Linked DNA regions of Macaca fascicularis. The protein of the gene in region 2 interacts with the protein of the main gene of each other region in a biochemical or structural test. Links are inferred from orthologs where the notes say so. Each region holds a gene or a part of one and is shown on either strand. Other genes may lie near its edges. The genes, in order: FLOT1 and SORBS1.

Region 1 (4,247 bases), on a different chromosome or scaffold from region 2:
CCTAGGCTGGCCTTGAACTCCTGAGGTCAAGCAATCAGCCTGCCTTGGCCTCCCAAAGTGCTGGGATTACAGGCACGAGTCACCACACCCAGCTGGCCTTTTCTTTAAAGCTTTTCAGCTGTAACATCTGAGTCTTTTAAATCTCTCCTCATATAGGGGAGCTGGTCCACTGATGGAGAGCCAGAATAAGATCAGAGTTAGAATATGAGAAGTGGTGGTTCCTGAGACGGACAGCCTGAGAGGAATGGGAAAGGGGCAGAGAGCAGCCTGGCCATCTGCCCAGTGCAGTGGCTCTGACCTGAAGCTGATAGGCCAGGTCAGCCTGTGCTCGGCGGGTGTTGACCTCGATGTCATAGGCGGCCTTCTTCAGCTCGTAATCTCTCTGTGCCTTGGCCATCTCGATCTCACTCAGGTACTGAGCGGACACCTTTTCCTGCTTGGCTTTGGCTTCCTGTCCAAGCAGAGATCAGGTAGGAAATGTCAGGGCAGTGGGAGAAAGGCCACAGTGAGAGCCTGCTTCCCACCAAGGTTCTCTGTCTGCCTCAAGTATTTTCCCTGCTAACCCAGCACCCCTGCTTCTTCTCAGTTGTGCCACTTCTATCCCCTTTCCCACTAAGCAACCCCCATCTCTCTCACCCGGATCCCAGCATCTCTCTTGGCCTCTGCTTCTCCAATCCGTGCATCTTTTTGGACTTGAGCTGTTCGAGCCTTTCCCAAAGAGTGCAAATAGTCCTGTGGGAGAGATGTAGAAATTAGTCCCTTGGACGGCTTAAGAGATGGGAGCAAGGAAGTGGGGAAGGATCAATTGCCCAGTTTTACCTGGTCATCGTGAATGTCCTTCAGAGTGTAGCTAACCACACTGATGCCCATGTTGACCAGGTCTGAGGAGGCCACTTTGAAAACCTGCTCTGAGAATTTCTGCCTGTCCTTATAGATCTCCTGTGATAACAGGATGGTGGGGAGAGGGGATGTAAGATTTCTTTTTTTTTTGGCTCACTGCAACCTCTACCTCCTGGGTTCAAGCGATTCTCCTGCCTCAGCCTCCCAAGTAGCTGGGATTACAGGCACCCACCACCATGCCCAGCTAATTTTTGTATTTTTAGTAGAGATGGGGTTTCACCAGGTTGGCTAGGCTGGTCTTGAACTCCTGACCTCAAGTGATCCACCCGCCTTGGTGTCCCAAAGTGCTGGGATTACAGGCATGAAGCACCCTGCCCGGCCGGGATGTAAGCTCTTAGATCCACTGTCTCTCACAGACTAGTGTGGTCCTTGGGTCCCCCTCATTTTGGCATCATTCCAGATGGTTCCCTGCCCCCAGGCCAACCTCCACAGTCATGTGGGCCATTATGGCCCTCTGGTGGCCCTCTAACGTCTCCAGGGCAATGTGGGCAATCTCAGCCTCCGTCTTCCCCAGGAACATCTGACAGGCGGCCGCCAGCATCTCCTTGTTCTGCCCCTGGATTTTTACCTGTAGCCAGAGTAGGGGTAGGAAAGGTGTGGTGGGGGCCTCATGAAGTCAGAGAAGAAGCAGAGAGAAGGGAGAGCCCTCAAAGAAATGCTTCTTCCATTTCAGGGAAAGAAAGGAGGAGGCGGCAAGTGCCTTGAGGGTGCCTGGAAAAGATGAGACTAGCAGAGGAACTTCTCTGCAGGCAAGGATCGAGAAGGCTGTGGCCAGAAGATGTCTTAATGTCCGGGTGAGAGGGTGATGGGGAAGTAGACTTTGGGGAAAAGGCTCTGAAAGCCTCACCTGGGCAATGCCAGTGACTGAGATGGGGACCCCATGGCGAGTGTAAACCTTTTCACTCTTGACATTGAGGGTCAGTGTGTTGAGAGAGATCCTAGGGGAAAAAGAAGGGACAGACAGTAAGAAAAGGAGGAAAAAGAGAAAATGGGAGGTTCCCCTTCCCTGGTTCCCTTCTTGCCTACCTCTGGATCTGCTGGATGCAGGGCAGGACAAAGACTCGTCCTCCAGCCACCATGACTGGGGGGCTTCGGCAGAACCCTGCAAAGTGAGGAGCAGTGAGGAACTGTGGCAGAGCTTGAATGTGGAAGACTGAGGAACTGGCGGGGGCTAGGGGACAGCAACCCACAGGAGAGAATCTGGGAGCTGGAGGGGAAGCAATCTGGGCCTTGGAATGGTGGGAATCAAACTGGGCAGTTCGTGGTCATCAAGGGGCAGAAGTCTGGGGCTGGGAAGCTGGTAGGGAGAGGGAGAAGGGGCAGAGGCCAGACTCACAGGGGTTCTGGGGTCACTGGCTGGGAAGGGTACAACAGTACTTACCGGAGACCACCATGGCCTCATTTGGGCCACAGGTGAAAAACATGGTTCAGGCTGGAGCTGGAGGAGAGGGAGGGAAAGCCATTGCGGATGGGGAAGGGGCGCTGTGGCGTCCACAGGGCCCATCCTTTCCTTTTCCCGTCAGGCCCTCTCAGTCTGCATCCGCCACAGCCTGTCCCTTCCGCACCCATGGGTCCGCTAAAGCTTTTCCCTGCAAAATCCTGAAGATCCCCAGCGACCTCTTCCCCGCCTGCGTACGGTCCCTCCCTTCCCCTCGCCGCTCCCTTTGATAAAGGTCCCCTGCGCCCAGAGGCCTGAAGATCTTTCCCCTCCCTCCCTGCTTCTCGGCAGCCCCAGGCTCCATCTCCCCTCCCCCACTCACCTTCCTGGACACCGGCGGCGGCCCGGCTGGGGTCTAGGGAAGGGCGGGGGCGCGCAGGGACCTGCAAGCCGAGCAGGGGCCGGTAGCGGACCAGCCTTCCTGGGTCCGCTCCCGCGTTCCCCACCCGGCCGCACCCTGTTGCTGCTGCAGCCGCGACCCCGCCCCCCGCAGCAAACTAAGCACCCCCACCTCGCCCCGCCTCGGCCCTGTGAGCTTGGCCCGCCCCTTTCCCGGCAGGCCCCGCTCGAGTCCGCAGCCCGCCCACCCGTTGGCTCCCGGGCCCAGCCGGGCTGCCTGGTTAGCCCAGGGGCGGCCACATCCCTGCCGCCCCAATCACCGCCCTTCTTGAGCCGGGCGACACAGCTCCACGCTCCGCCCCCGGGCGCGGGACTTGACCTCCGCGGCCCGGCACCCTGGCGTAAGGGTGATTGCCACATCTCGGATTCGCCGCGGGGCAACTACCTGGGAAAACCGCAGACTGGGCAATGAAAGACTGCATCGGGCAACCGGATGCTGGGTTCTGTTGACTCCAGGAAAAGGAGCTCCCGGGCCCAGGGAAGTGCGCGGGCTGGGGACTGGGCCACGGCGCCTCCCGCCGTTCCTTGCCATCTGAAGGCGGGGAGGAGTGGGGAGTCGGCGCTTGCAAAGATACACTCAAGACTGCAGACAGTAAATCAAGTTTATTTGTGTTCACAGAACATACTGGGCAATCTCGACAGTCGCCCCGTGACAGCCCACCAACCCCCAACCCTCTACCCCGCAGCCTCTCCCTAAAGGCGACTTCAAGAAGATCAAAGGATCTCACGGATCTCATTCCCAATGGTCCGCCGAAGTCTCACACAGTAGACAGACGGAGCTGAGATGCTGGAGGATGCAGTGTCACCTCCTAAACTTACGACCCACCACCAGGCTTCATCCCAGCCGGAACGTCCTCCCCCACCCGGGTCCTCCCCACTTCTTCTCCTACTCTGCCGCAGTTCCAGGTGTCCTGCCTCCACCAGTCCCACAAAGCTCAATAAATACCAAGAGACCTGCATTTACAGCAGGGGGAACATCTCACACCCTTGCATAAGTTAAAATAAATATTACGTACACCCCTTCATCACCTAGGAGGACGTACATAAATACATATAAATATTAATTAGGAGCAATAAGAAATAAATTAACGACGCTCTAATTCCCACCGGGCTTAGCCCCAGCTTGGCTGTGCCTCGGTCTATGTGCGCCTCAGTCCCGCCTCAAGCACTGGGTGTCGTCTCCGCTGTAGTGTTCTGAGTTCAAGTTGCCTCGGAAGTCCCAGTTTGGGATACGCTCTCGCGCACCAGGTACGCCTGGTGTTTCTTTGTGGTTTTTCGGATTCTTTTTGGGGAGTGCGGGGAGTCAAAGTCAGAAGGCGGCTGGGTGTTGCTGGAGGAAAGTGCTGAGGTCCAAAGCGTAGTCCGAGGGCTCCGAAGTCAGATTAAAGGGCTCGAGGACCGGGGGCACAGGGGTGGGCGCCTGGGATGCGGTGCTGGGGGCGTCCTCCGGAGGCAGGGGCGCTGGCACACCCTCTTCAGCTATCAGGATCTGGCAGAAGACGATGGTGAG
Region 2 (3,808 bases):
TAATGCACTGTGTTGGGGACTGGGTTTTACAATATATTGGTGTGATCTAGTGGAAGAAACAGGTGCATTGATACCAGGAGAAGTTTGAAAAGCTTTGAACCCAAAAGGCACAAACCAGCTGTGCAGAATGTGGGAGTTAAATACTTTTTCCAAGCCACCATTTTCTTATAGAAAATAATGAAGATAGATGGCTCTCCCCTAGGTGGTTGTAAGAGACTTAGGTGAAACAGCTTATGTGAAGCCCCCAGCATGACACATGGTATCTGGTTTGTGCTTAGTAAACAGGAGATGCCAGTATCATTATCATCACCGTCATGCTTATTCAGACGCAATTACACTGTGCAGAGAAGTTCTTCTTTCCAGAATCCAAACACTCTACCTGGCAAAATTCTCTGGCTTCCTAAAGTTACTAAGTTACTGATTTTATTGAGGATTGAGGGAAGTGAGCACATGGGTTAGAAAAAGATGAACCATCTTATGTAACACTGGAAGCAACCCAATTTGCCCTACAGCAGGGGATCAGTAATTAAATCATTATATGTGTGTGCAACAGAATACCCTGCAGTGGTCCATTAAGCTGTGCAATGCCATTAAAAATCTAGAATTCTATTTTTTGATAAAGAAGGAGGTTTACTATGTACTATTAAGTATTTTTTAAAAAGCAAGTTGGAAAAGTATGGAAATACAGTTTATACTCAATTTTTATAAGAAAAAATATGTGAGGTTTAATTCACATGCGTAGAAGTAAATCTGGGAAGTCCATATGCCAAATATTAATAGTGTTTATCCCCAAATGACTATGTGATGGATGAAGATTGTTTTCTGCTTTATGTTTGTGTTCTGATTTTTCTATAATGATACATTATAAGTATTTATAATTCTACAAAAGAAAGAAAAAGAGAAACCCCCCAAAATCTTTGCCTTAGAGATGAAGATTGGATATCTGTTTCACATTAAATGAGTCAAAAACACTATATTTGTTCCCTGGCTTAGGGGCACAAATCTGATGTTCTCCTTTACTAAAATACTTAAAGAACCAAGGTAAACTTCCCAGCATCAAGGTAGCTCCTCTGCCATTAGCATCCTCATCCCAGTGGTGGTAATTCCCTCGGGTTCAGCAGGGAATGTTTTTGCTGAGCTAAGAATGTGGTAAACAATGCAGGACATTGAAGCATGCAGGCAGAGGCCCCAGGCATGCAGAGGCATGCTAGGACAAGGACCCTGTCTTTGCTGTGTCTTCCAGGGTGAGAGGATAACACTGCTCCGGCAGGTAGATGAGAACTGGTACGAAGGGAGGATCCCAGGGACATCCCGACAAGGCATCTTCCCCATCACCTACGTGGATGTGATCAAGCGGCCACTGGTGAAAAACCCTGTGGATTACATGGACCTGCCTTTCTCTGCCTCCCCAAGTCGCAGTGCCACTGCAAGCCCTCAGGTATCTAAGCTTCTCGTCACTGGTTTTCATACTCAGCGTGTGAGTTTTCTTAGTCAACAGTGCTGTTGGCACACAGCCTCTCTGGGGAGGTTTTTGAGCACTGCAATTAAAAACTGTCTGCAGGAGGCCGGGTGTGGTAGCTCACACCTGTAATCCCAGCACTTTGGGAGGCTGAGGTGGGTGAATCACCTGAGGTCAGGAGTTCGAGATCAGCCTGGCCAACATGGTGAAACCCTGTCTCTACTAAAAATTCAAAAATCAAAAAAAGATGGCGGGCGCCCGTAGTCCCAGCTACTCGGGAGGCTGAGGCAGGAGAATTGCTTGAACCCGGGAGGCGGAGGTTGCAGTGAGCTGAGATCACGCCACTGCACTCTAGCCTGGGCGACAGAGTGAGACTCTGTCTCAAAAAAAAAAAAAAAAAAAAAAAACTGCAGGAAAGCAGACTGTACACTGGACTTTGTCTTCATGCATACAAATGGCCTTTTCCAGTGCTTGGTTGAAGATATATTATCTCAGAGGAAAAGAAAGAGTCAGATAATTGCTCTGGGAATAAAGTGACTAGGGAAAGAGAAACAAGAGCCTCTATCAGTTGGTCCCTCCTGGGTGAAGCTGTTGGTGTGGGGACCACCACTGTGTCATAAATCCCATGGTCCAAATGTGGTCCTCAGTCATCTTGGCCAAAGTTGGCCTGCAGAAGACAAAGGCTGAAAGAGAGACTTACACCTTCTTCTTGTCAGCCACGTAGACCAGGTCCAAAGTGTTTGCATTCACCGGAACCAGGTTGACTGGAACAAGTAACTTATAGCATCTCAGTCTCAGTGGGCTGAAAGGATGTAGGTTTATAGGCATGGTAAGATGTTGGCTCTCCCAAACATTAATTATGAATAAACTTGTTTAGAAATATAAACTATTCCAAACTGATCCCCACTTTCCCAAAGCCAAGAAAATGTCAGAACCTTGAGTTCAGGGTGATATGGTGGGGGTGACATCCTGTGAAAAAGTCCAGCCAAACCACCATGTATGTTGTAAGGAGGTTGGCAGAGGAACAAGAGTAGGACCTGGGGGCCCAGGTTGACCCTGAGACGATGCCTCTTGTCTAGTCCTCTAATTGTTTCCTCCTCTGACACCTGCTCATCACTGACCCCAGTAGAGGGTTCTTGGCAGAAAGCATTAAACAGGCTTACCCAGGGCTTCCTGCACAGTGACAGCCGCATCCTGTTGTCTTATAGGACAGGGTGTGTGACTGGGGCGGGACATTCTGCTTTGTAAGGATGCAGAGAACTCAGCTACGTTTTTCACTTGACTGTAGCCAAGAATGATTGTAAAACAAAACTAGTACACTACTCATACTCCTCTCTGGAAGACTCTGCTGAGCTCCCAGAGAAAATAAAACCTCAGGGAAGGGCCATGGCAGTGCGGGGCCACCTTTCCCCATGGTTCCGGGTCAGGGATCTGGATGCACAGGGGCTGGGGGGCTGGGATAGGGAGCTTCCAGTGGGTCCCTTTGAAACTCCAATTCTGCAAAGCAGGCCGGCCTCATCCGTCACTACTCTGACGGGAACCTCTCTCCATCTCCACACCTGTGGCTGCTTCCTCCACCCACTGCCTGCACACATCAGGCTCATGTTCGCACATGCTCACATGCACACTCACCCATCCTGGTTTCTCCCCAGATGTAACCCAAGGATTTCCTTTTTGGACACCAGAGTGTCCTTGCGCATCCTCTCCATTTCATTCCTCTTTATATACCCCTTGTGATTATTTTCCTTCTTTTTCCTTTATGCTGACACTTGTACCTTTTGCTTCTTTCTTTTGTTTTCCTCTCTCTTCTTCTTTTTAAGTTTTCCAGTCACAGCAAGCTCATCACGCCAGCACCCTCATCTCTGCCCCACTCCCGCCGAGCCCTGTCCCCCGAGATGCACGCCGTCACCTCTGAGTGGATCTCGCTGACTGTGGGGGTCCCAGGCAGGCGTTCTCTGGCCCTGACCCCACCCTTGCCTCCTCTGCCAGAGGCTTCTGTCTATAACACTGACCACCTCGCCTTGTCACCAAGGGCCGGTCCCTCCCTGTCTCTCAGCCTCCCCCATTTGAGTTGGTCAGATCGTCCCACCCCACGGTCAGTAGCTTCTCCACTGGCCCTACCTTCCCCACACAAAACCTACGCCCTAGCACCCGCTTCCCAGGCCTCCCTTCACATGAATGGAGACGGTGGTGTCCACACGCCATCTTCAGGCATCCACCAAGATAGCTTCTCGCAGCTGCCACTGGGGAGCTCTGATAGTGTCATCTCCCAGCTTAGTGATGCCTTTAGCAGCCAGAGCAAGAGGCAGCCATGGCGCGAAGAGAGTGGACAATATGAGAGGAAAGCAG

What was found.
Region 1: the proteins of SORBS1 (region 2) and FLOT1 form a complex in vitro, tested with the Homo sapiens proteins (2 studies listed by BioGRID). The link is inferred for Macaca fascicularis from reciprocal best matches to the Homo sapiens genes SORBS1 and FLOT1.

The regions. Positions count from the first base shown.
Region 1 is NC_088378.1:141,914,869-141,919,115, reverse strand, and holds the start of FLOT1 (flotillin-1), read right to left. Parts: upstream 2,838-4,247; 5' UTR 2,661-2,837; intron 2,339-2,660; 5' UTR 2,325-2,338; coding exon 2,282-2,324; intron 2,003-2,281; coding exon 1,927-2,002; intron 1,839-1,926; coding exon 1,748-1,838; intron 1,469-1,747; coding exon 1,325-1,468; intron 940-1,324; coding exon 820-939; intron 733-819; coding exon 637-732; intron 452-636; coding exon 299-451; intron 1-298. Other genes in the region: IER3 (radiation-inducible immediate-early gene IEX-1), read right to left, coding at 4,047-4,247. UniProt on the Homo sapiens protein: May act as a scaffolding protein within caveolar membranes, functionally participating in formation of caveolae or caveolae-like vesicles.
Region 2 is NC_088383.1:104,255,772-104,259,579, reverse strand, and holds part of SORBS1 (sorbin and SH3 domain-containing protein 1), read left to right. Parts: intron 1-1,243; coding exon 1,244-1,438; intron 1,439-3,279; coding exon 3,280-3,808. UniProt on the Homo sapiens protein: Plays a role in tyrosine phosphorylation of CBL by linking CBL to the insulin receptor. Required for insulin-stimulated glucose transport. Involved in formation of actin stress fibers and focal adhesions.